4 linked regions of the Callithrix jacchus genome follow. The protein of the gene in region 4 interacts with the protein of the main gene of each other region in a biochemical or structural test. Links are inferred from orthologs where the notes say so. Each region holds a gene or a part of one and is shown on either strand. Other genes may lie near its edges. The genes, in order: ERBB3, PDGFRB, LIMS1 and NCK2.

Region 1 (3,437 bases), on a different chromosome or scaffold from region 4:
CCGGAGGGATCATCCATTTAAAGGCCTCCCAATCTAGAGGCTGGACTCCTTAAAGAAGTAACATGACATTGTTCCAATAACAGGCTGGATGGAGCACTTAAGGGAAGTGTTCAGAAAGACAGATGTTTGTTGAGAGCGCTTACTGTGAAAAAACAAAATAAAAAGATTTGGTGACTTTTCTAAGAATGAATTCAGAAACACGTAGAGGTTTCAGTATTTGGCCTCTGAAGGAGACCGGACACGTATATAGTGCTTTTTATAAGTCCCCAAGCACGTGGGTTATTTGTTTTTGTTATTCTCAATTGTTTTTGCTTTGTAGATTCCTACTAAAACCCCAAAGGACTATAAGCTATGCTTGTTCTAAAGAAATACAAGTAATAATAGGACTAGAGAAAGCTGCATGGGACGGAGTAGCATTGTCAGAAGACAGAAAGGTGACTGTCCTCTGCTGAGGAGATCTATCTAACATATGAAATGTTTTCATTTGACAGACAGGAAGCTGAAAAAAACTTTGGCATTTTTATTCAGACATGTATAAAAACAAAACATTTCAGTGATACAACAGATATTTTCCCTCAGTTCCCCATCCAAAGGAACAGAGGCGTGAAACTGGGTCTTCTTTCTATCCTACCTGGAAGCTTCTTACTGCTGGGATGAGAATGGCTCCTAAAAGTGAATCTTGGGGGAATCCTTGTGAATCTGCCCTCAGATAAGGAGTAAAGATCATTCACAGCACGTGGGTTATGGTTTACACAAAGATGTCCAGTTATTTTTCCTTCTGACTACCCCCACCACCACTTCCTGAGATGAGATGTCTTCCTATATGAGGAGGATGTGGCTGTTGGGGTTAGACTTGATTCAGTGCAGACAAGAAACGTTGCCCCTTACAAGGGCTGTGACTTAAATCAGTTTTCCTTGGCACTTACAGTTAAGAGCACATGCACAGGAATTGGGAGGATTTTGCATTCTGGACCTACTGCTTAATTAATCTCTTTTAGGCTCAGTTTCCCCCCCCTTCCCCATTAGAGATGGTGTCTTGCTATGTTCCCTAGGCTTATCTCTAATCCTGGGCTCAAGTGATCCTCCCATTCTCAGCCTCCCAAAGTGCCGGGATTGAGCCACCACGCCCGGCTTCCCTTTTTTGTAAAATGAGTTAATATGTATGTCACAGAATTGTTGTAAGGACTAAGTGAGATAATGTAGGTAAAGTTTAGTATGATGCCTGGCTCATAATTAAGTGCTGAATTATAAAAGTAATCAATATCTACTCCTAACCTTTATCTCCACAGATTTTAACCTTCTGTCTTTCTAGGGGGTTAAGAGTCATAAACCAAAATTATACTTTTCTCTGCTAGGTTTCCTCCCTTTCCTCTTCCTGACAGTCTGATGGGAAACAAAGGCACATCTAGGAGCCTAGTTCCAAGTAGTCAGAGCCTGAGAGGAAGGGATATGGAGAGTAATCCTTCATATCTCCAGAAATACCTGTGAGGAAGCTGAGGAATGGGATTGAGAAAGCACACAAAATAAGGAAAACCTCCTTTCCTGGGGTTGGGAAAGAGAAGAAAGTGCACAGCTGGCTATATACCATAAGAATTTTGTGTCAAATGTTTAAAAGCCTCCAAAGGTTGAATGGAATTGTCTGGGACTGGGGAAATGGGGCTGAGATCTGGGAGAGAGAGGGAACAGGGAGAAGAGAGTACCCTCTAAAGGCACTAGCTGCCATTAAATGCTCCCTGAGTGCCACAGGGAGCAGGGGTTATGTTCTCTGCGCATTAGCCTTGGGGAAAAGCCTGCTATGCCAGTAATCAGGGTTATCAAAGGCAGAGTCTGTAGCCTCTAAGCTACGTAGAGTTTTTAGGCGGGCATAATGGACGTGAGGGGCCTGATGTCCAGGCCCCTGAAAAGCTCTCATCTCTTCATACCCTTGCTCAGATGCTGGGCAGGCCCCCATGGCTGCATAATCACCCCCAGGACCACCTCCACCTCGTTGCCGATTCATATATTCATAATCTTCATCTGGAGTTGTGCCAGCAGTGGGCATGATTGGTACAGGGTGGAGTGGGCAACTCTGTGTGCTGCCCAGAGAGGCACTGAGGTCTGACCCCACATCCATGTACTCATAACCCAACTCCTCAAGGGAACTTGGCCTAGGGGGACGAGGTGGGCTGTGCCTTCTCCGGTTCATGTATTCATACTCCTCATCTTCATCTTCTTCTTCAGTACCCAGGACAGAACTGAGACCCACTGAAGAAAGGGTGCCTTCCCGGGAGGAGGGAGTACCTGAGGGTAGAGAAGAAAGGCTAGGTATGCGAAGAACCTCATGGGGGTAGGGGAAAGTTTGAAAAAATGAATAGGATAGAGAGGCATATCATCAGAGAAGACAATAATTTAGAGGAGCCTGGGGAAAGAATTCGAGGAAGAACTGAGGAAAGCCCTAGGAAGAGCAGGCACCTTTGAGGTGTGTATCTGGCATGACATAACCATTGACATCCTCTTCCTCTAATCCTGGTGGGGAGAGAGGGGTGACAGGAGTAAGCAGACTGTGGCGCTGGGAATGGTAGGCACTGTCTCCACGTGGCCGTGGGCTCCGGCTCCTGCTCCGGCTCCTACACATTGACACTTTCTCCTGGAGCTCAACCTCAGAGCCTGTTACATGGCCCTCTGATGACTCTGATACCAGGCGTCCCCGTGGCATTGGGTGCAGAGAGACTGGACGGGGGCACCATTCACTGCCCTGAGAAACTGCAGACTCCTAAGAAAGAAAATAAACCAAAAATAATGCAAGGAGATTTACACAGATCAAGAAAGAAGTGACATTTGTTTAGAAGGAGATTGGAGGCTGGGCGCGGTGGCTCAAGCCTGTAATCCCAGCACTTTGGGAGGCCGAGGCGGGTGGATCATGAGGTCAAGAGATCGAGACCATCCTGGTCAACATGATGAAACCCCGTCTCTACTAAAAACACAAAAAATTAGCTGGGCATGGTGGCACGTGCCTGTAATCCCAGCTACTCAGGAGGCTGAAGCAGAATTGCCTGAACCCAGGAGGCGGAGGTTGCGGTGAGCCGAGATCGCGCCATTGCACTCCAGCCTGGGTAACAAGAGTGAAACTCCATCTCAAAAAAAAAAAAAAAAAAAAAAAAGAAGGAGATTGGGTTGTTCACTACCTTTTTTTTGGGGAGGCGGGGGATGGAGTCTTGCTCTTGTTGCCCAGGCTGGAGTACAATGGCACAAACTCAGTGCACTGCAGCCTCCCAGGTTCAAGCAATTCTCCTGCCTCGGCCTCCAGAGTAGCTGGGATTACAGGCACCCACCACCATGCCCAGTTAATTTTTGTGTTTTTAGTAAAAACGAAGTTTCACCATGTTGGCCAGGCTGGTCTCGAACTTCTGACTTTGTGATCTGTCTGCCTCAGCCTCCCAAAGTGCTAGGATTATAGG
Region 2 (7,945 bases), on a different chromosome or scaffold from region 4:
AAGGCTGGACTGGGCTCCCCAGATCTGGGCAGGTGTGAGGATGCTCATAGCTTGTCCTGTCCACAGTGGGGCTGGGGGCCACTCTGACCACCCCAGGGTAACAGCACTGCACTGCCCATGTGCCCCGTCCATTGTCTATTTCTTCAGAGTGCACACAGGGAAACCAAGGCCCAGAGAAGGGAGGGCTCGGCCCAGGAGACACTGTGTTGGAATGCTGCTCAAATGAGGGAACTCACCATTTCAGTAATAAGACTTCCAGGCAATGTACTAAGTCCTTCTTACAAACCTAAGAGGCTTATGAATCAGTCTTTGACTTATCTCCATTTTCCAGAGGAGGAAACCAAGGCCCAGGAGTTTCAGTGACTTGCCTAAGCTCATGTAGCTTGAAAATGGAGCAGCTGGGATTCGAACCCAACTCCATCTCTAGCTCTCCAACCTCCCCTCTCGATCATGACACTTTTGCCTCCATTGTCCTGCCCTTGGCGAGTGCCCTGGGGTGCTCCCTGTGGCTCTGCACCTCCCGCCCATATCTCAGTTGAGAGGAGGAGGAACAGTCCTGGTGCCCACCAAGGGTTAATGGTGGTAGGGGCTAAGTAATTCCAGATGGGCCTTAGGACGGCTGGGCTGGCCGGAAACTGGAGGCCGCCAGCTTCCCAGGGGAGCCACCGCCAACTGCCCCTCCCCTCTGTGCTGCATGTCTGGCCCCCAGCTATACCCCCGCCCTAGGGCACACCATCCTCCTCTCTCTTGCTAGAGTCCAGCTCTAAGGTAAATTGCAGGCAGAACATCCCAAGAGCCTGTTGCCCAGCAAGTCCATCCCTGCTATACACAGTTAGGGAAACCGAGACTCAGGTAGGACAGGGGACCTATTCAAGGCCTCCCAATAAGTCTGTGGCTAGGTCTTCTGACCCCCAGACTAGCTTCTTTTGGGACTAGGGGTTGGTGTGTCTTCTATGTCAGTAAAAGAAGTCCTTCAAAGCTTAGTTGATGATAGTATGGTTGACTGTGAGAGGATCGGAACTTCTAATTATTATTGGGCTTTTCCAAGTAAAGCTCTTCATGCAAAGAAGCGTAAGTTGGAGACTCTGAAATCTCAGTTGTCTGAGGGAAGCCAAAAGCATGCAAGCCTACAGAAAAGCATTGAAAAAGCTAAAATTGGCCGATATGAAACGGAAGAGCGAACCATGCTAGCAAAAGAACTTTCTTCACTTCGAGACCAAAGGGAACAGCTAAAGGCAGAAGTAGAAAAATACAAAGATTGTGACCCACAAGTCGTGGAAGAAATACGCCAAGCAAATAAAGTAGCCAAAGAAGCTGCTAACAGGTGGACTGATAACATATTTGCAATAAAATCTTGGGCCAAAAGAAAATTTGGGTTTGAAGAAAATAAAATTGATAAAACTTTTGGAATTCCAGAAGACTTTGACTACATAGACTAAAATATTTCATGGCGGTGAAGGATGTAAATTTTAAACTATTATGTAAATAAGTGTACTGAATTGTCATTTGCCTGTAACTATATGTAGACTTTTGTTAATGTTAAATAAAGTGCAAAATGCAAAAAAAAAAAAAAAAAAAAAAATAGGTCCTCTGTGGCTGTCTTGGCCACAGAGGTTCAGCCAAGGCTTCAGAGGTGAATGGCCCAGGCAGATGCTAGGAGGAGAGTTGTACATTTCTGACGGAGTCTTTGGGCACAAGAAATCCCTGTGCTTGTGCCCTGTGGGATCTTTTCACATTCCCTATGACCCTGCTGCCACAAAGACCTGGCCAGGCCCCCTCTCTTGGGTACTCTTATCGTCCCCACCCCGTGGCGGGGAGCCAGTCTGAAAACACTTCTTTTTCCGTGTGGTCCAGGCCAGATTCTCTGCTGGGCAATCCCTATTGGGACTAGACCAAGAAATGATTGCAAGATAGATGATTGTGGTTGGCATGGAATTCCAGCTCAGGCAAATGCCCTGCTCTGTGAACATGGGCCTGGGGGAATCTGAGGAGGAAGGACTTAGCAGTGCAGAGGGGAGAGTGGAAGGAGGGCAGAGGCGCCTCTACCTGTGTCACCTGGGACACCTTTCTTCACCCTCTGGGATTCAGTTCTCCATATGCACAGTAGTGGGAGCAGGGATGGCGAGCCCACAGTATATGCCCTTCTGAAATAATGCCCTTTGCCATCCGCGGGCTAGGAGTCTGTAAATGAAGATGTCCTTGATCTGAGAAGCCCAAGGTGGAAGAAGAGACCCAGCCCGGGGCACTGGAGGAGTCTTGGCAAACCCTGGTGGGAAAGGAGAGCCAGAGAATGGAAATGGAACAAAACAGATACTTGAAATTATCTTGTTGAGTGACTGAAGGAAAGAGCCACAGGGGGAACCTAGGAAGAAAGCAGGGCTGGGGGCTCATCTACACTGGAATCGGGGAGTCTTGGGTGGGGGTCAGATGAATTGTGTCCCTTCTATCATGTGACTCATGAGATCTAGTTCTGCCCCAGCTCTGCCATTGCTGTGTGCGCTTGGAAAGCTTATTTTGCTCCTCTGGGACTCAGTGTCCCCTTCTATAAAATGGGGTAAATAATCCTCTCCTTGCACCCAAGGGGCTTTGAGATTCAAAAAGGAATATGTCTGTCAATATCCGGATATATCCAATCTGTGCTGGGTGACCTTGACCAAATCACATTCTCTCTCTGTGCCAATTCACCCCTGGGCCTTGGTTTTTCCTTCTGAAAAATGACTGATCAGCTTGGAGGATCTTTCCATCTCTTCCATGCCACCTCTTCTCAGCAGTGCTCTCTGATTCTCTCAGGCCTCCATTAGGAGTCCCTCTAAATGCACTCTCAGCTTTCTGTCTGCCCACCGGGTACCTGCTTGCCCACTGAATGTCTCACTCACTAGCCTGGGTGCTTGAGGTCAGGACCATGTCTTACTACTGTGTCCTGGCACTCAGTACAGTATTGGAAGGTAATAAGTGCTCAGTATGCTTGCTCAATGAATGAATGTTGACTGAATCAACCACAGAGATGATCAGAATCTCCTTTATAGATGGGGAAACCGAGGCACTGAGAAATGACTCTCCCCTGGGTGTCATGAAAAGGGGAGGCCACCACCCAAGATGGGCATTGGGCAAGTGGGGCCCAGGCCACTCTTTGATAAAAGTGACTCAGCTACTGGTGGCTGGCGTGGGCTGTGGAATTTCTAAGCATCCCCTCACATCCTGAGAGAACGGGCGACGAGAGGGAGGCAAGCAGAGGGAAAAGAAGAAAAACAAGAAACTTGGGGGAAAAGAAAGAGAGGGGAAAAAAACTGAAATTGAAAACAGACGCACGCGTTCACCCTCCCTGCCCCACTGCCCCCCTTCTCCCCAGCTGGGCCAATCAGAAGCCACCCTGCAGCCTTTCCCCCAAAGTGGCGAGGGGGAGGGGGCGGGCGGGAAAGCCCACGGTGGTGTGAGTTTCTGGGGCTGCCAGCAACCAGCAGTGACCGCCCGCCCTATCTGGGACCCAGGATCGCTCTGTGAGCAACTTGGAGCCAGAGAGGAGATCAACGAGGAGGAGGAGAGAGCCAGCCCCTCAGCCCAGCTGCCCAGCAGCAGCCTGTGCCCGCCCTGCCCAACACAGACAGCCAGACTCAGGGCGGCCCCTCTGGCAGCTCTGCTCCTCCTGGAGGATGCTTGGGGAGTGAGGCGAAGCTGGGCTGCTCCTCACCCCTGCAGCAGCCCTCTCCCTCCGTCCCTTCCTTCTCCTGAGCCTTCAGGAGCCTGCAACGGTCCTGCCTGTCCTTCTACCCAGCTATTACACACTCTGGAACCAGCAGTCTTTCTGATAACGGGGAGACAGCAGTAAGGAGGACTTCCTGGAGGGGGTGACTGTCCAGAGCCTGGAACTGTGCCCACACCAGAAGCCATCGGCAGCAAGGTAAGTGCTGGGAGGGGTGGGAACCCTAGCCCCATGCCCTGTCCCTTTGCCCTAGCCTGTGTCTCTTTGAGTAGGTAAAACAAATGGAATATATTTTGAAGAAAACCGGATGAGAGGAGACTGGGAGACTGTGGGTGATGTCAGGGCTGGAGGAGCCAGTTCTCTCCTTTCCCCTGCTCTGGGGTGAGGGGCCTCCACCTCATCATCCCTGCTGCTCCTGCCTTCATAAAACAATCCCCAGGGGTTTCTGAGTGCTGAGTGGGGGCCTCCAAATCACAGCACAGTCAATGGGGGGGTTGGCAGGAGAGGGGAATTGGGAGAAGATAGGCAGGTACACCGAAAGCAGGGGACGAGGACCGCAGGACCCACTCCGCAGTTCCAGTTCTCCAGTTCGTGGCCCAAGCTGTGTTTCTAAGAGTCAGTCTGGCTTTAGGCCAGTCAGCCGCCAGGCAACCTTTGGAGATTTAAATGGATTTGCAAATTTTCTAGATTCCTAAGATATCCTTCTAAACCCCCAGCAGCTAGAAAAGTTTGAGGGCTAGGAAAGTTTGAGGGCGATGGGGGGCCATGGCAACCCCCTAGTGGTCATGCTGCTGGGGCTGGGGTCTGGGGTCTGGGACCTGGCCATCAGATCTGGGGACTCCTCTGTGAAGTAGGGGTCAGCCACTGGCCATTTCCTTTGGCCCCAGGCAGCTGCTCAGACCTCCTCTTTGTCTCCCTCCTTCTGGACTCTACCCCTTCTCCATGCCATTCTAAAGCATAAATCTGATCACACCACCTCCTGCCCAGGATCCGCCTGTGGCTCCCCAGTGCCTGGAGAAAATCCCAGCTCCAAACAGAGGCTGCCACTGATTGATACTTACTGCACGCCGCGACTGCGCTGAGTGCTTTATGAGGCTGATATCATGTCATGCTCACCAGCAACCCCAGAGGCAGCGACTGTTTTTACCTCCACTTTATACATGAGGAAACTGAGGCTCACGCGGCACATAACTAGCCACACATCTAGAAAGTGGTACAGCCTGGAGAGGTTGGAAACTGCTTGTGCCCCATTACTCCAAACTTGGGCCTTTTGTTCCCTCCAGTCAGATCCCAGCATTCCCAGAAGGAATGTGTACTATCCTGCTTGTGGGCATTTGCCCCCCTCTTTTCTCCCTTCCTGGAATGCCCTTCCTCAACACTTTTCTTTCAGGGGTATTCTGTACTCCACCTCTTCCAGGCAGCCTTCCCAGGTTCTTCCTATCTTCCAAGTGCTAGCCATGCATTTTGTGCTGAAGCCCTGCCACTTGGCCCTCTCCTGTGAGTGATCTGTTTGTGTTTTGTTTGTTCATCGGAGATTGTTCAGGCCCCAGCAGTCAGACCTGAGGCTGCACTTTCTGCTGGGGAAAGGTTTTACCATCCTGTGCTCTGCCCCCAGTGCCCAGCCCTGGGTAGGCAGTGGGGCTGAGACGTCCTGGTGAAAGGGAAGAGGAGCTCACTGAAGACCTGCTCCCAAGTGTGAGACTAGACCAGCCCCCCAGCCTTCGCTTCAGGTGCCCCTGCAGGACATCGTGTGGCTCCTCCAGGTGGCATTTCTCCATTGCAAGCAGGGAGGAGTATCTCTGCTTCCCTCTGTGACCCCCTGAGAGCACAGAGGCCTCTAGTGACAAGTTCTGAAGTCATGCAGTCCACCACCGAGACTGTATGTTCCTGAATGCTGTGAATTCAGGGTCCAAGCAGGAGACCCTGAATTCACAGCATTCAGGACCATACAGTCACAGTGGTCCCTGTCCCTGAACACCTAGCCCATGCAGGCATAGAGCCTGGCACCTCCCACACCTTGGAATCCTCATGGCAAGTTTTTGAAATCAGTGTTATGATCTCCTTGTAGATGAGGAAGCTGAGGTCTGGAGAGGTCAGGTGACTCTGCCAGGGCCACACAGTGGGTTGAGGTGGTGTTTAGGCTGAAGTCATTCTGGCCCTAAAGGGGCCTTGTGCTCCCTGGGAAGCTCCCAGTCAGAGGGAAGAATCTCCATCCTCCTGCAGAGCCTGCTCCTGGCTTCAGCACCTTCCCCAGCAAAAGTGCAGCCTCAGGTCTGACTGATCCAAGGTCCGCCCAGGCCCTGGCTTGGTCCTGAGAGAGGAAGGAAACCATCTGGTTAGCACCCTTCTCCCAGACAGCAGTTATCAGCAGCCCCCCTCCTCTGTGGGAAGAAGAGCTGGGACTTGTAGTTGCCCACAGATGTGGGGCGGGCAGCAGAAAGCACCGTGGACCAAGAGTCAGGAGACCCAGTGCTTGCCCTGGCTCGACTCAAATCCACAGTGTGACCGACCTCACACCCCTTACATCCCATCTCTGAGCTGCTTCCACAGCTGGGAGGCAGTGAGCACTGTGGGTAAACAGCACTAGGCTTGGGGGATCAGATGACTATACATTGACACTGAGTCAGTTTCTGGCTGTGTGACCCTGGGCCAGCGCCTTGCCTCTCTGGGCCTCAATCTCCTTCTCTGTGAGCAGCAAGGCCACATGTGGGCTCCATGAGACAACAGCATTGGCAAGGCGCTGAGCACAGTTCCTGTACTTCACAGCTGGACCTCTGGCCACTGGCTGAGAGAGCCACTGCTCTCCCGGCCTCCTGCATTGGACCACTTGACCATGATATTAGTCTGCAGCCTGCAAAAGGCTCTGCCCATGGAAGGCACAGGGACATCATGCATGTCCTAAAGATCTGTGTCCATCCTCCAGGCACAGGCCACAGTCTGACTCTGAGACCAGCTGCCTCCTATGCTAAAGGAGGGTGGTCTGGGCATGTGCTGAGAACAGGCTGCTGTTGAGTGCACTGAAGAGGGAGAAAGTGATGAAAGGGTCTTCTGAAATGCCTACCCATTTCTTGCAATTGATTCAGAACCCAGTGGGCAGTGTGTTCTTGGAATGGGAATATTTTTTCAGTGCCTTCGTCTTATGACCAGAGTGTTAGGAGGGAAGGGAAGGGGTGTTGGGCCCCTCCCCAGGGTCAGGGCTTATAGCACCTCAGCTAGGAAGCAGTGTGAGCAGGATGATATAATAGGAACCAACCTGTCCTTAGCAGTTTCTGTGTCTACTTCAATTCTGCTTTACATCCGATACCTTGAAGTTATTGCTGTATTCCTCAGCGCCTAGAACATGCTTAACATTCAGGATGTTCTTAATAAATACTTACTAGATAAATTTAAGCATTACAGCAACCTCAAAATTAGATATATAAACTCTCCCCATTTTTTTTTTTTTTTGAGATGGAATCTTGCTCTGTCTCCCAGGCTGGAGTGCAATGGTGTGATCTCGGCTCACTGCAACCTCTGCCTCCCGGGTTCAAGCGATTCTCTTGCCTCAGCCTCCTGAGTAGCTGGGATTACAGGTGACCCCCACCATGCCTGGCTAATTTTTGTATTTTTAGTAGAGACGGGGTTTCACCATGTTGGCCAGGCTGGTCTCAAACTCCTGACCTCAAGTGACCCACCTGCCTCAGCCTCTCAAAGTGCTGGGATTACAGGCATGAGCCACTGTGCCTGGCTAAACTCTCCCTATTTTACAGCTGAGAAAGTACATAGTCAGTTGCCTAAGGTCCCACAGCTCAGAAGTGGCAGAGCCAGGATTTGCTCTTGGGTGTTTCTGACTCCAGAGCCCCTTGATGAGAGGCTGGATGGGGCCTGGGATGCCCCTGGGGATCCAGTGTAAACCCTGAGAATGTGCCTCAGCTGTGGGGGCCCTCAGCATTTCGCAAGTAGTCATCAGACCCTAAAACCCTATGGACTGTCCACAAGTCGATCCCTCTTGGGGCCTCAGTTTTCCCATCAGTCAAACAAGAAGGCTGACCCAGATGACGGCAAAGCTTTCTTCCAGCCCTAAAACAATTTCAGGATTCCAAGCCACACCAGCCCAGATTGGCAGCTGCACAAGCCTTGCTGTGTACTCAGGGATCATGCATATTTAACTTCACAATGAAAGAGTTTTTTTTCTTACCCTGTCTCTACACATTACAGAAAGAGGTCAGGATCGATGACCACTAATGGAAAACTTTAACCTGCAAT
Region 3 (7,386 bases), about 4.6 Mb from region 4:
CAAATTGTTTTTCTCCAATTTTTAGTCTAGAAAATATTAAAACTATAGAAGGGTCAAGAGAATGATATAATGAAATCTGTGTACCCTTAATTTTATTTCACCATTTAACATGTTATCATGCTTATGTGTGTACAATACACGTTCTCGTTTCACCCTCCCATGTATGTGTGTACGTGTGCATGTATACACATGCCTCTAAAATTTCTCATGACTCAGTATACATCTCCTGAGAATAAGGGCATTTTCCTATGGAACCACGATGCTTTAAAAAAAAATTTTTTTTTTTTAATTTTTTGTTGAGACAGGATCTCACTGTATCGCCCAAGCTATAGTGCAGTGGGCGATCATCACTTGCTGCAACTTCAGCCTCCTGGGCTCAAGCAATCCTTCCACCTCAGCCTCCAGAGTAGCTAGGCAACAGGTACATGCCACCCTTCTCGACTAATTTTTTAAAATTTTTTGTAGAGATGGAGCCTTGCTATGTTGCCCAGGCTGGTCTCAAACTCCTGAGCTCAAGCAGTTCACCCATCTCAGCCTCCCTAAGTGCTGGGATTACAGGCATGAGCCACTGCACCTGGCCAGAACCACAGTACTCTTACCATATAAATTAGCAAAAATTTTATAATATCAACTAGCAGTCCATATTAAAATACCCCCAATATCCCCAGAACTATTTGTTATCACTGTTTTTCCAATAGAAGATCCAAAAATAACCTCAAAAAAAGGTCTTATCTCTGTACATGCATTACTTTTACAGTTGTAATAATTAGGTATTATCTTAAAATACAGTGTTATATTTACTTTGGCTTGGTTTACATCTAAAAGAAATTATTTAATTTTTTGTCTTCAAAAAGTTATGATAAATTGTTGGGCTATGAATTTTCTAAATTCATAGTAAAAATTTAGTGGATAAAGATTCTTTACTGTAGTTAATGTGAACTTACATGCTAAATTATATTAGGGATAGAGAAGAAACAGTAGGCTAAATATTAAGAAAACTGTTTGGTGGTATAAGTTCAGCCATTTCATCTTTTGTGATTGAATTATCAGTTTGTGCTGTATCTTGTTTTCTTGCCTATCCTTCCTCTTGGGAGATTCTCCTCTGTCCACTTTTCCTATAGAATTACTTCAAAGGGGTGAAATTCAAACAAGTCCATTTGACTAATTGGAACCATCTCTGACCAAATGTTTATTGATGCAGGAGAGTGAAAATAATATTTAATTTGAGTATTTGGAGAAGGAAAATTATGGGCATGTGTTTATGAAAATAAACCTAAACCGATTAACCTATAGCTCTTTTCAACAGCTTGTGACAATTTAAATAATTGTTAGTAAATGGAACTAGTCTATCAACTTCTCAGTTTGCTTGGAAAGGTAGTGTCTTAGTCTCTTTTACGTGCCTATGACAGAATACCACAAACTGGGCAATTTGTAACAAACGGAAATTTATTTGGCTCATGGTTCTGGAGGCTAGGAAGTCCGAGATTAAGGGGCTGGCATCTAGTGAGGACCTTCTTGCTGCATCATAACATGGCAGAGGGCATCACACAGTGGGTGGGAGGAGAGGGAAAGGGAGGAAGAGAAGGGAGAAAGCTGAAGTTGTCCTTTTATAAGGAACCCACCCCCTCAGTAACAGCATTAATCCATCCATGAGGGTAGAGTCTTCATGATCTAATCACCCCTTAGAGTCCCTACCTCCTGACACCTGCATTGGGGATCATGCACTTTGGGGGATGCATTCACACTACAGCAGGTAGTATTACTGAATCTACCCTCAGCACTGTGATTATTCCCCATAGCTTTTAAAGGAAGACAAATGGACATAAATGTAATGTGATTATATAAGAAAGAAATGATGAATATGACTGGTGTGGTGGTATATATCTAACCTAGTATTGCATCTTATCCTTTTAAGATACAGATGTTTTGGTAAGAATCTGAAACCTATTCGGACCTATTAATTCAGGTTACTCTGATCACCTCTAAAGGGAGAAAAAGAAATTTGCAGGGATTGTCATAGTAATCTCTTTAAAAACCTTTTAAAAGTTGTCCTGGCCCTATCGGTTGGCTATTTTTCTCTCTTGGTATTAAGCTGGGTGTCTTTCTCACGAATAGGAAGGAGCTGACTGCTGATGCACGGGAACTCAAAGGGGAGCTGTACTGCCTGCCATGCCATGATAAAATGGGGGTCCCCATCTGCGGTGCTTGCCGACGGCCCATTGAAGGGCGCGTAGTGAACGCCATGGGCAAGCAGTGGCATGTGGAGGTAAGTTGAGAGTAACCAATCGTTTCAAACTTCTGTGATTCAGCAGTAATCAATCCTTTCAAATCTCTATGATTTAGGGGTAACCAGTACTTTCAAATCTCCATGATTCAGGTGTCCTGGCAAGATTTAGGAGATTCTAAAGGTTAAACATGGACATTTTAAAGACAACTGACTTGCTGACTGTTCAGAATATAGAATATATACTGCTTTTGTGAATTTCTCAGTAATGATACAGGATGTAGACTTTTGCACCTAAAGCCTTCCTGAAGCAGGAAGTGCCATGGTCTGTATCCAGCAGCAGCTCCTCCTTTATAGGTGCTACTGGGGTACTCATCTATTTGCTCTTTTTGGGCTATTGTAATAGGCTATGTCTTAAAGTAACCTGTCAAAGATAGACACGTGAATTAAAACTGCAAAAGTATTATATTAGGGAGCTACCTATGGCCAAATCAAATGACTATCTCAAACGTTCGTTCATCTTCTCTGAAGATAGGTTAACTTTGTGGTTTATTTTATTAGATATAAAATATGGCAAATCAAAAATGACCTATAGCAATTTTTTTTCAGCATTTTGTTTGTGCCAAGTGTGAGAAACCGTTCCTTGGACATCGCCATTATGAGAGGAAAGGCCTGGCATATTGTGAAACCCACTATAACCAGGTATTGACCTTAGTCACTGGATGCTAGATAGACTTTATGAACTTTGCTTATCAGTAGTTTAGCTACAAGGAAATCTCTTGGAAGATATACATTGTTCAGGAGAGATGTTTTTAACTATTTAGGAAATAATTTCAGACTCAGAAGCTAACTATAAAATAAAAAATAAAAAGAATACCTGTATGCTTTTCATTCAAGTCCACTGTTTACTTTATCATTTTCTATGCTCAGTCTTGCTGTGTAAAACACCTACTTACATAAATATTATACACAAATATGATGGCTGTTTCTAAAGCATTTGCCAATAAATTCATCATACTCCTTTACCCCTAAATACTTCAATATGTATTTCCCAAGAATATGAGACTCTCTAACATAATTGTAGTTATCAGTATTGATATCATACTTTAACCCATTTATTCTAGTTTTGTCACTTGAGTCAATAATGTCCTCACAGCAATTTTTTCTACTCCTAGAAAAAACAGTCTAGGGTTGTGATGTTTTTTTAGCCTTCTTAAATCTGGAACATTTCCAGAGCCTTTTTAAGTTTTTGATGGTATTGACATTTTGGAAGGATGCAGAGGGCCCCTACCCCCTTTTAATAGACTACTTTCCACTTGGGTTCTCTGTGCTTTCCACTGCTGCTTCTCTGTGGTTAGATGAGGTTATACACAGCAGGTTGCAGCCTCACACAGTAGCAGTGCATTCTCTCAGAGCCTTGTCCCTGGAGCCCTTCATAATCACCTCTCTTGCGCTGGTGATCTCCCAGGCACAGTGCTAGCTGATAATATCACTATGAATTACAATTTCCTTCACTCCTTTGTAAGAAGGAAGCAATCTGTGGGCCATCATTTTATGACCATGGAAATGTCTTGTTTCTCATCAACCCACCACACCTTTATGATTCTTGCTTCTGCACCAGCTGCAAATGACAGTTCTCTAGCCCCACACTCTCCACCCATAGTCTGGTCCTCAGCGCTCTGCCTGAGCAAGAACCTACCTCCTCTGCCATCTATAAGTTTATTCATTTATCTGTTTCCTATCCATATATACTCACAGATTTCTATATTTCACATTACTTATTTGGGTGCTCAAATTGTCTTCTGGAAAGATTTTTTTTTAATTGATGAAAGTGAATTGTTTTCACTGTAAAAAGTAAAAATTTGTCAAAGAACTTTTACTAATTTTCTCCAGTAGTGATAAATTCTTGATTTAGATAACCAGCTATTTGTTTTTAAATGTTCCGTATTGTAAAACTTAATTCTAACACATCTTGAACCACCTTTTTTTTATTTTCAGCTATTTGGTGATGTTTGCTTTCACTGCAATCGTGTTATAGAAGGTGATGGTAAGTATCTGTGTGAGTTTTAGATTGGTACCACTTTGACACAGAAACACTTGGGCCATGTGGAAATTCAGGTTGGTGATTGCTGTTGTTTGGAATGTGATCGTTATCAGTTGCTTTTTCTCTTTCTTTGGTGTATTTCCCAAGTAATCTGTAGCAGTAAGATGATAATATCAAAGAGTTGGATTTGTTACTCATTTATGATACTACTTTCAGCCACTGCCACAGTGTTGTATGCCAGCAATCATGGGAACTGTCCCTAGTGGACCATAGACCTGTTTCTGTCCAGTTCCAGGAAGCTCCATAACAACATTTATTAGGAACAGTTTAATCTGCTATGTAGTTAGGAAGAGGCACTTTAACTTGCACATGCTAAAACCTGGCAGTTATCAGCAAGCACATCTAGGACTTACTACCCCTTGTACTGTGGTAATTAGGTTGGACTGATTGACTGGAACAGAAAGGAAGCAGCTGTGTTTGCTAACAGTTGCTAACACAATTCTGCCAGAGACTTCCTGGCAAAGTTTTGAACAATCCTGTTTTCAGCATGATTCATGGCTCCCTGCAGACATCACCTAATTCAGGAAATACTTTTGAAACACTGTTCATGTGCAGTTTGTGAAAAGATTAGTCCAGGAAAACAATCTTCAGTGCCATTGAAAATAAAACTTACCTCCCTCCTCTGTGAAACAGACACCAGGTAAAAGGAGCTACAAGGCAAACTTTCTTGTTATCATCAGCTCTGGAAAAAAGACTCCTACAGACAAATACGTTAATGCCTGGATTTTTCAAAATTATTTACCTAGTTCATATTTCCTTGTTGGGCCAACAGCAGTAGGTACAGAAACACCAAGCTCACCTAACCAATATCATGCATGGACAGTCACCACATGTGCCTGGGCCAAGGGGGCATGGTTGCTGGTGTAAGATATGGCACACATCATTTACACCTTCATAGGATACTTAAGAACAGGGAAAGATTAATGTCAGCCCTCCATATCCAAGGGCTGGATCCAAACATTTGGTGATACAACCAACTATGGATCAAAAATATTTAGAGAAAAATAACAGTATAAAAATAGTACAGTATAATGACTATATATCATTTGCATTGTACTAGGCATTATAATCTAGAAATGATCTAAAGTATGTGAGACAGTGTACATAGATTATGTGCATTTTATATCAGGGACTTGAGCATCTGAGATTTTGGTATCTGCACAGCATCCTAGAAACAGTATCCTGCACATACTGAGGAACAACTGTACACATAAAGGTTGAGGGCCAGGTATGGTGGCTTACGTCGGTAATCCCAGCACTTTGGGAGGCCAAGGCCGGAAAATTGCTTGAGACCAGGAGTTCAAGACCACCCTAGGCAACATAGACTTCCATCTCTACAAAATAAAAATAAAAAATTAGCCAGACATGGTGGCACACACCTGTGGTCCCAGCTGCACAGGAGAATGAGGTGAGAAGATTGCTTAAACCCAGGAGTTCTAACTGTGATCACATCACTGCAATACAGCCTGAACAACAGAGCAAGACCCTGTCTCAAAAACAAAGAAAAAAAAAAGAACCTCTCAAGAAAGAGGTTCTTGGCTGGGCATGGTGGTTCATACCTGTAATCTCAGTATTTTGTGATACTGAAGCAGGCAGATTGCTTGAGCCCAGGAGTTCAACACCGGCCTGGAAAACATGGCAAAACCCTGTCTCTACAAAAAATAAAAAACTAGCCAGGTGTAGGCTGGGCACAGTGGTTCATGCCTATAATCCCCGCACTTTGGGAGGCTGATGCAGGTGGATCATGAGGTCAAGAGATCGAGACTATCCTGACCAACATGGTGAAATCCCATCTCTACTAAAAATACTAAAATTAGCTGGGCATGGTGGTGCATGCCTGTAATCCCAGCTACTCAGGAGGCTAAGGCAGGAAAATTGCTTTATCCCAGAGGGCAGAGGTTGCAGTGAGCCAAGATCATGCTACTGCACTCCAGCCTGGCGACAGAGTGAGACTCCATCTCAAAGAAAAAAAAAATTAACCAGGTGTGGTGGTATGCACCTGTAGTTCTAGCTACTCAGGAGGCTGAGATGGGAGGATCACTTGAGCCCAGGAGGTTGGGTCTACAGTGAGCCAAGATTGCACCACCACACTTCAGCCTGGGCAACAGATCAAGACCCTGTCTCATTAAAAAAAAAAAAAAAGGGTCTCCCCGAGGTGCCACAGACACAGTCATTGCAGTCATAGTTCTGTTTTAGAGTTGAAATTCTAAGCTGCCCTGCTCCCCATACTGATGTATTTCCATGTGACCAGATCTCTTTCCTCTTTGTCTAGTGGTCTCTGCTCTTAATAAGGCCTGGTGCGTGAACTGCTTTGCCTGTTCTACCTGCAACACTAAATTAACACTCAAGTAAGTCTATGGTTTTGTCCAATGTGAATCCTAAGACTGAAAACTTTGGGGTGACACTTAAAAAAATCCTAGAAAAAGAGAATTATTTGATTTCTTATTTCCTCTTTCTGTTCACGCCTTCTGAAAGTAAAGGGTCTTCCTTTAATTTTTCCCTGTTCTTTCTTCTATTCCTTCTTTGTCCTGCTTAAAGGGATAAATTTGTTGAAATTGACCTAAAGCCAGTCTGCAAACACTGTTATGAGAAAATGCCAGAAGAATTTAAGAGGCGACTTGCCAAACGCGAGAGAGAAGCAAAGGATAAGGACAAGCAGAAAAAGAAAAAGCCAGTCTGTTTGTAAACTTTTCTATCCCTCTGTCATCATTTTCACTACTTTCTCCTTTGGTTAGTCCTTTGGAATATGTTTTTGTTCTGTTTCTGCCTTTTGCTTTCTTCCTCCCCCCTACCCCCACAACTTTTGGGCATGTATTTGTAGTCATCAGAGATTGAAATACAAGCATTTGTCCTCTTTAGAGTTGGTCCTTTTGCATAATTACTAAAATTACAAATATTAAATGAATATGCTCCATACTTAATACAGGTTTGTGGTCATATATTTCACTTACTCTGTAGACTCACTCACCTCATTTTTTAAACACCATGTTATACATTTCTATTTTGTTCATGGATTTAAAGGGAAGAATTCTAATCTCTTAATAGACCCTGGAAAAAG
Region 4 (7,885 bases):
CCAGCAACGCGTTGGTGTTCCTCATGTGCTGCCTGCAGGACTGACTTACCCCTAAATTCAAGCTCTGTCATTCCCAGTCTCCTACCTAGAAACAAGGGCCAGAACCTAGGGTGCCATGTTATTCTGACTATTATGTATGATGGTGCATGTGCAGAGGACTTTGCAAACGATGAAGCAGCATGCAAGCACTAGTACATGTCATTCTTCTCTCACCATGGCGTTTTAGGTCTTCACTAACAAATGGGCAACATAAACACCTTGCCTTGCAAAACTGTCTCAAAAGAAACTGCAATACTTAAATTTGGAGTTCATTTGAAGCTTCTTTTCTTAAAAACATTACAAATACAATAGTGGAAAGAAGAGGGGACACAAATAACCAGGGCAGGATCACAAACACTCCACCCAGCGTTTCGAATTCAGGTTGATATGAACAGACTAACCTATAAAAGTAAACCATTCAACCAGCCCACCAGGTAACACAATTGGGTATGCATTTGGCTTTGTTTTTGTTGTTGTTGTTGTTTCTGCTCTTAAATGTAGCTTCAGCACTACAAATGACTCACTTGACAGAAAATTTACCAAATAAAGAGGGCAACAGACCAAATTCTCCCATTGCCTGGTCATCCTGAGGTCAAAGCCTTCCACAACAGAGGTTCTGAGCAGATTTACAAGAATGTCAGAGGTCTCTTAACACTCGCATCTCAGTGGGAGGCTAGAGCCCCAACACTGACAGGCTGGGAATTCAGTATTCACGTACATATTCAATAAGTATTCGTAGCACACCCATTGCGTATAAGCTGCGAGACCAGTCTACCCTCAAGGGGTTCAGAATCTATTAAAGAAAAGATGAATGCAAAAAAAAAAAAAAAAACCCATATGGCAGGACATAGTGGCTCAAGCCTATAATCCCAGTATTTTGGATGTCAAGGCAGGAAGATCACTTGAGCCCAGGAGTTTGAGACCAGCCTTCTGTAGAGACCCTGTCTCTACAAAATAAAAATTAAAAATTCACTGGGCATGGTGGTACACACATGTAGTCCCAGCTACTTGGAGGCCCAGGTGGGATGACTGCTTGAACTGAGAACTTCAAGGAGGCAGAGAGCTGTGATTGTGCCACTGCACTCCAGCCTGGGTGACAGAGTGAGACCCCACCTTAAAAATATTAAAAAATTTTTAAAAACTGTAGGAAAGAAGGTCATAGACGACAAATCAGGTACACAAAGAATGTGCTGTGGCGGTTCAAAGATGAAGCCATCCCTGTAGCTGGGAGTTGATAAGATGTAGAGAAGAAAAGAAAGAAGAGATGACCCATGGGAAGAATAAGAACTCAGGACACTGAGGGGGCTGAGCCAAGGTGGAACACAGAGGCTGGGCAGGGAGAGTGATGCTGTGTGACATCACTGTGACACTGCTACCTCAATCAAAATCACTTTCATTTCCACAGTTTCAAGGACTGAGATTGTTGAGGTAGGAATGTATGTGCCAGCACACGTGTGTGCAGCTGTGTATCACTTGGCAGAGGTATTACTTGCTAACGTTCATTTACCTTCAGAAATAAACATACTTTGGGATATGCTCAAAGGAAAACGCAGGAAAAGAAAAAAAGAGTCTAAATTTAAACTAGTTTTGCTTTCACTGCATACTTTTACAACCAGTTAAAAGGCTGTCATGACCTTCTTCTGAGTTGCTTTAACTCACAGATGGAACACCACACATGAAATCATGTTTTAGCTTAGGCCCTTTGAAACGTGCCATGAAGTATTTCCATCACCCATTTTAGGAAAGAGAAAGCATTTGGAAGCGCCACTCGCAATCCCTCAGAATGGGAAAACTAATTTCCTAAGCCTCTGGAGTGAGTTGTGGGGAGTTTCCAATTCATTTGTGAAAAAAGTTAGCTTACTTGTTTTCCCAAACATCGCTCATCATCCTCCCCTGCAGTTCCAGCAAACAATTTTGAGCTCTTCAGTCATTAAGCTTCATTTTTAATATCAGAAAATAATTTCCACAAGCCCCGTCTCCCCCAGTGCACACAGCAAGCCAGTCTGAGCAGTCAGAAAAATGGGTGTCCCATAGAGCAACACAGCCTGCTCTAGCCAGGGCAAATTAAGCGAGTGCAAGTGATCAAGTAAAGGAATCCAGCGCATTCTGTGCCATTCAGGGAGTCTTAGGGTGTTTTTAAAGGTTATCCAGTCTGTGCACAGTCAAGGAGGACTTCCAGTGTATTTAATATGGATGATAGTGCATTTCTCAAATATGGTACTGTGTACATAAGATCTGCTGTGTTTTGGAAAAGCTAAATAACCCCAAATGTAAATGACAGTGCCTGGGTAAGTACAGCAGGATCAAACAGAGAGAGATGAAGAAGATTTAAGTATGTAGTGTGTCCTAAGCAAAACACAAAGCCTGAAAACTGAGCACAGCTACCTGAAAAGGGCCTTCAGCAAGTCCCATCGTTAATAGGGTCAGTTTCTTCACAAGCGGACAGAGGGGTTTATGCAGCAGCCAACTTTCCCTGATGGTAATTTATGACCCAATTTCATCCAGTGTTTCATGATCAATCCCGTTGAATGTTTATGAAGCAGGAAAGAAGCTCAGAATCCATGCAAGGCCTCCAGGACAGGAAGTGGGCCAGGCACCTCCACAGATTCCCATGGCCAAAGTTCTTAATTTCAGCATCAAGTAGCCGCCAAAAGAGCACTAAGATTCTGCCACCGTCTCCAGTCAAAACTACATCTAACCAACCTCCAGGGGAGAAAATACTGAGGTAGGATTTTCCCTTGTGGTCACTTCTTCACAAGCAGGGTTAACACTTGCTTCGCAGGAAATCCCTGTTTCAAACATCAAAAAACCTACATGTCTAGCCCAATCTCCAGATGAAATGCATTTCTTCTCCATGTGTCCCATGACTGCCGTTCTCTTTACAGAAACCTCACACTGGCTTGAATCCTGTTACTAATTCACCCGTTTATGAACGCTTGGAAAGTGAATTGAGGGAGTGTTCACAAGCACAGTTCTGTACTGTTAAGTTAAAGCAGCCCAGGTTAATTTCATTTTCAGTCACTTTTCAGATTCGATAACTACATCCAAAACAGAAGCATGAAACACAACCTGAATCACTTTCATTCCTACACAAAATCCTTTCTGAGAAGCAGGGACTGGGTCTGGGGCCTGGGCCAGGAAGGGACTCCTCTACCTGTGGGTCCCGAGCAAGCCACGCCCACCGGCTTCTCTGGCTAGTTCCTTTCTGGGTCTAGGGAGGGAGCTGGCCAGTGCGATATTTTAAGCCCCTCCTGCCCACACTAGGGCCTGCTTATCCCATTATGCAGACGCAAACTTGGCAGAAGCAACCTTAAACCTGTTGGTAAAATAAAGCCAAATCTGCCAACCTGAATTGTCTGAAGTGGCCAAGGCCGACTCCATGCACGCTCGGCTTTGTCCCTGAAGCTGTTACAATATTAGTTTAAGTCAGGTGCCTGGGGTCCACCAGCCAATGACCCCTAGCATCCAGCGCAGACCTTCACAGAGATCCTTACTGTCTACAAGTTAAAGTGTGTGGCAAATTAAACCCCTCCACACAATGCCAAGCTAACTGTGTTTGTAAGGGAGTTAGGGTGCCTTAAAACTCACATATCAAATGTTTCCAGAACCACTCGGTGGTTAAATCGCCCTGAAAGAAACCGAAAGGCCGAGCGATTGTGAGAAACTTTGGTTCAGGTGGCTGTAAGAGTCCTGTAAATCTGGGGCAGGGCGCACAGCCTGAAGCAGGGCACAAAAGCTCCCTTCGCCGACGCGAGGACCTCCTTTATGCGATGTGACAGCAGCTTTGTGCGCGATCATAAATAGTTGTAATAAACACAGTTAAGTTCTCCCGGCCGATCTCGGCCTCCCGCGTCCCTGCGCCGGGGCCCTGAGATCCCCGGCTCTTCTTCCCTAGCACGCGCGCCCTGGCGACCCTGGCCACTGCACGGTCCTACGCTAGCCCCAAGCTCCGTGCCAGCCGCCGGCCAGCAGGCCAAGAGCTGCCTGCACACCCGGGGGTCTCGAGTCCCCGGGCCCCGCCGCCGGGCCCCTTGCCCTGATCCCCGCCTGCGCCCTTGGCGGGCGTCCCCGCCCCTGCGCCGGCCCCCGATGGCGGGGGGTGGGGACGGGAAGGCAGGCAGGAAGGTGCCGGGCCAGGAGGAGCGGGGCAGCTCGCGGTCGGGGGTGCCCAGGCCGCGGCGGGGCCGAGAGCACCGGTGGGGCGCGGAGTGGACCCGCTCTCCCAACCCCTGCCCGGGCGCGCCCCGGCCCGAGAGCCCCGCTAAGCTCCCAACTCCGCCCAACGGCCCCAAGTTTGCGGCCCCCGCCCCGCTCCCGCCGTGCCGCGCTTACCTCGCCGTGGGCCGCCCGCGGAGCCGGAGGGCAGCGGCGCGGGTCCCGGGGCGGCGGCCGCGCTGCGCCCGCCCAAGCGCCGCTCTTTGTCTGCGCCGCTCCCTCCTCCCGCCGCCGGGCGGACGCTGCCGGCCCGGGCGGACCCCGCCGGCCCGGGCGCCGCGAGCCTCCCAGCCGCCGAGCCCTCCCCTCCGCCGGCCGCCCGCTCGGCCGCGCGGCTCTGGCCTGACGATCCCGGCGGCGGCGGCGGCGGCGGCAGCGGCGGCGGCGACCCTCCCCCGGCGCTCAGCGCCCGCCTCCTCCGCGCTCTTCCTCCTCCTCCCGTGCTCCTCCCCGGCCGCGCCGTGACGCCGCCCAGGGGCCGGCCCAGGCCCGGGCGCGCGGGGCGGGGACCCGAGACCCACCTGGGGCGCCCCCCGGCGCCACCAGGCTCCGCGTCTTGGGTCTCGGTAAGCGCTCCGGGATAGAGCAGGGCTAGGGGACGCTCCGCTCTGCAGGCGCAGCGCGGGCCGGGCGTCCGGTGCAGGAAAGGGTCCCTACGCCCGAAATTGCGCGCGGGCGGTGGGTGGGGAGGAGAGTGAAAACCCAAGTGGTAACTTCCAGCCTCGGATGACTGCCGGGTGGGCTTTGCGTGCTCTTTTTTGTTTGTTTCATGTTCTTATCACGAAGCTCTAGTTGCTGGGCAGCCGCCCCCGTCCCGGAAGCACTCCCACGGCAGTCAGCGAAGCAGGCCTGTTGTCCATCAGAAAAGTGACTTGTATAAAAATGTCACTTCCTCCCTGTAATTGCTTGTGGGCATTTTTATTTATTTGCCTTGCATCTATTTACTTTCCCAACCAGACACGTTTTTAGTCCATCATCCCGTCCGAGGCACTCCCTAAAAGAAGGAGAGGAAACTCGACCTCTGTTGCCTCGCAGGCATCCAGGCCAGCCCCAGCCAGTGGAATCCTGGTTGCACACCCGTGGGGCAAAACCCGAAGAGGAGCTGCCCGAATGGGCCCCTAGAAGGTGGGTGGCTAATAGTGGGACCGTTCAGCCCACACAGCCTCGAGTTGTGGCTAACCTGTAAACAAACTTGGAAGATTAAAACCCAAGAGCAAGGGGAAAAACACAAGCTTCCCTTTCACAGGCACTTTCATCCGGATGTCTTTGCTCCTCCCCATGTGATTTCCCAAAGGAAATTCTAATATTCAAATAATTCTGATTTTCTGGCAGGATAGCCTGCATCCATGTTAATAAGATTCTTTCTTAGGCTCCTAATCTCTGCTTACTATTAAGGCAATAATAACTTACCCAAGATTATAAAGCAGTATTATTTGACTCACTCATCTCCTGCCTCTTCCAGAAAGGAAATACCCTAAGATAGGTAACTAGAGGCAGTGTAGCTTTGCAGTCAGACAGGTGAGTGACTATTGACTTCCTGAACTGTGTAATTTCACACAGGTGGGCCTTATCCTTTCTAAAATCTGTCAAATGGGGAGTTTTTTGTTTTTGTTTTTGTTTTTTTGAGACAGTCTTGCTCCGTTGCCAGGCTGGAGTGCAGTGGCATGATCTCGGCTCACTGTAACCTCTGCCTGCCCAGTTAAGTGATTCTGCCTCAGCCTCCGGAGTAGCTGGGACTACAGGTGCCCGATCCCATGCCCAGCGAATTTTTGTATTTTTAGTAGAGATGGGGTTTCACCATGTTGGCCAGGATGGTCTCGATCTCTTAACCTTGTGATCTGCCTGCCTCAGCCTCCCAAAATGCTGAAATTACAGGTGCGAGCCACTGCTCCCGGCCAGGAGATAATATTTACCTATCTCCTATGTGAAGTACCCTGGCAGTAGGTAGCCCTCAATAGCTCAATAAGTGGAAGGAGGCACAGTACACTGAGCAGGAATCAGATATAAGCTCAGGGAATTGGGACAGCGTTTTTTTTTTTTTTTCCTTTGTTTTGACCTTGTGAAAGAAGCTACTTCAGTTCATCCTTTTGGAAAAGCCTTGTGTTAATAATTCCTAGTTTACAATAAGGAAAGAAGAATTCTAGCCTGCCCAATTTTAAATTAGTTTTCTCAAAATAAGCATAACAATATTGACCTAGTTTTTAGCTTGTTTGCGTTGTAAACTTTCAATGAATCATGGTTCTTGAATGACTTTTCCTTCTCTGACTTTTTAGAAAGTTACCGATGTCATTCTTAATCTAAATCCAGTGGCTTTTTGTCAATATCTATGCAGTTTTCTAAAGTATGTGGCATTTCTGCTATTTCCTGAAACACCATCATCTTTTCATTCATCAAACACAGCCAGTTCTGACTCTCTTACCTTTCTAACCTGCCAGTCTCTGCCTCCCCTAGAGAGTTTGTTGTCTTCCCACCCTCTAATAGTTACATCCCCAAGGCAGATAGTGGCCCTTTATTTTTATTCTGATATACACCTTTTTATTTAAGAGAGAGAGAGTTGACTATTTTTTGTTTGCACCCTGTCTAAACTTTCATTGATTAACTCCCAGACCTGTAGCCATAGAGGGCTCCCCAGTGAATCTGCAGAGCTCCCCAGCGAATCTTCACTTCCTACACATGGCCCAGCATCTCTTCTGGGTCACCATGTTCAGAATGAAAACTCCTCTCCTTCCCTGACCAGCTCCTCCACTCACAGTTTCAGGCACCTCAGCTCCTGGGAGAAACCTCAGTGTCATCTTGGCTTTTCCTTCCCTGTCTCCAAGTTGTCCCCAAGAAAAGCCAGGAGAGGACTGAATGATACCAAGACCCCTTGCAGTCTATCCCCATGGTAGAGTACTGGTGATTCTTAAACATCTTTTTTACTACATCTTCCTTTCCATTTCCATCACTGGCATCCTAACTTATACATCATTCCTAGCAAGACTCGTAATGTACGTTGATTGAGTTCTTGACGGATGTCATCTCTAATCCACACACTATAGTATTATCCCTATTTTACAGATGAAATCACTTCAATAGTAGATCAAAGAACTGGGGTCAGAACTGCACATACCTGACTCCAAAACTCTTGTTCATTTCCCCACACCTACTGCCTTCCAACTGATCTCCCATTACTTCTTCTATCCCTCAGATTACACTGGACATCAATGTCATCCTAACCTTCCTACAAATTGCTTCCATTTTTCCCTGGTTGTGCTCAAGAACTTTCCATGACTCTCCATTGCTCACCACGGTCTCCTCAAAAGTCATCTGATGACAGAAGACTGAGCATTTTTCCCCAGGGAGGCTGGGGGATTTCGCCCTGAGAGGCCTGCTTTAGTTTCCTGGGGACTCCCTTAACAAATGACCGCAAACTAGGTGATAAAACAGAGGCTATTTTCTCAAAGTTCTAGAGTCTGAAATGAAGACACCAGCCTCTCTCTGAAGGCTGTAGAGGACACTCCCTTCCCTGCCTCTTCCAGCTTCTGATGGCTGCAGGTGTTCCTTGGCTTGTGACCCTATCACTCCCACCTCTCCTCTCTGTCTTCGCAGAACCACCCAACCTGGTTCCCTGTGTCCTCTCCCTTCTCTCTTT

Evidence for each region.
Region 1: the proteins of NCK2 (region 4) and ERBB3 form a complex in vitro, tested with the Homo sapiens proteins (2 studies listed by BioGRID and IntAct, with this or other methods). The link is inferred for Callithrix jacchus from reciprocal best matches to the Homo sapiens genes NCK2 and ERBB3.
Region 2: the proteins of NCK2 (region 4) and PDGFRB form a complex in vitro, tested with the Homo sapiens proteins (2 studies listed by BioGRID). The link is inferred for Callithrix jacchus from reciprocal best matches to the Homo sapiens genes NCK2 and PDGFRB.
Region 3: the proteins of NCK2 (region 4) and LIMS1 form a complex in vitro, tested with the Homo sapiens proteins (4 studies listed by BioGRID and IntAct, with this or other methods). The link is inferred for Callithrix jacchus from reciprocal best matches to the Homo sapiens genes NCK2 and LIMS1.

The regions. Positions count from the first base shown.
Region 1 is NC_133510.1:63,567,254-63,570,690, forward strand, and holds the end of ERBB3 (receptor tyrosine-protein kinase erbB-3), read right to left. Parts: intron 2,753-3,437; coding exon 2,452-2,752; intron 2,281-2,451; coding exon 1,757-2,280; 3' UTR 501-1,756; downstream 1-500. UniProt on the Homo sapiens protein: Tyrosine-protein kinase that plays an essential role as cell surface receptor for neuregulins.
Region 2 is NC_133503.1:48,865,095-48,873,039, reverse strand, and holds the start of PDGFRB (platelet-derived growth factor receptor beta), read left to right. Parts: upstream 1-3,459; 5' UTR 3,460-3,898; intron 3,899-7,945. Other genes in the region: meiotic nuclear division protein 1 homolog, read left to right, coding at 921-1,439. UniProt on the Homo sapiens protein: Tyrosine-protein kinase that acts as a cell-surface receptor for homodimeric PDGFB and PDGFD and for heterodimers formed by PDGFA and PDGFB, and plays an essential role in the regulation of embryonic development, cell proliferation, survival, differentiation, chemotaxis and migration.
Region 3 is NC_133515.1:20,416,033-20,423,418, reverse strand, and holds part of LIMS1 (LIM and senescent cell antigen-like-containing domain protein 1), read left to right. Parts: intron 1-2,115; coding exon 2,116-2,266; intron 2,267-2,833; coding exon 2,834-2,926; intron 2,927-4,222; coding exon 4,223-4,271; intron 4,272-6,600; coding exon 6,601-6,676; intron 6,677-6,866; coding exon 6,867-7,014; 3' UTR 7,015-7,058; intron 7,059-7,386. UniProt on the Homo sapiens protein: Within the IPP (ILK-PINCH-PARVIN) complex, binds to F-actin, promoting F-actin bundling, a process required to generate force for actin cytoskeleton reorganization and subsequent dynamic cell adhesion events such as cell spreading and migration.
Region 4 is NC_133515.1:15,809,620-15,817,504, reverse strand, and holds the start of NCK2 (cytoplasmic protein NCK2), read right to left. Parts: upstream 4,987-7,885; 5' UTR 4,776-4,986; exon of another isoform or gene 4,720-4,775; coding exon of another isoform or gene 3,859-4,719; intron 1-3,858. Other genes in the region: uncharacterized protein LOC118147454, read left to right, coding at 3,859-4,719. UniProt on the Homo sapiens protein: Adapter protein which associates with tyrosine-phosphorylated growth factor receptors or their cellular substrates. Maintains low levels of EIF2S1 phosphorylation by promoting its dephosphorylation by PP1.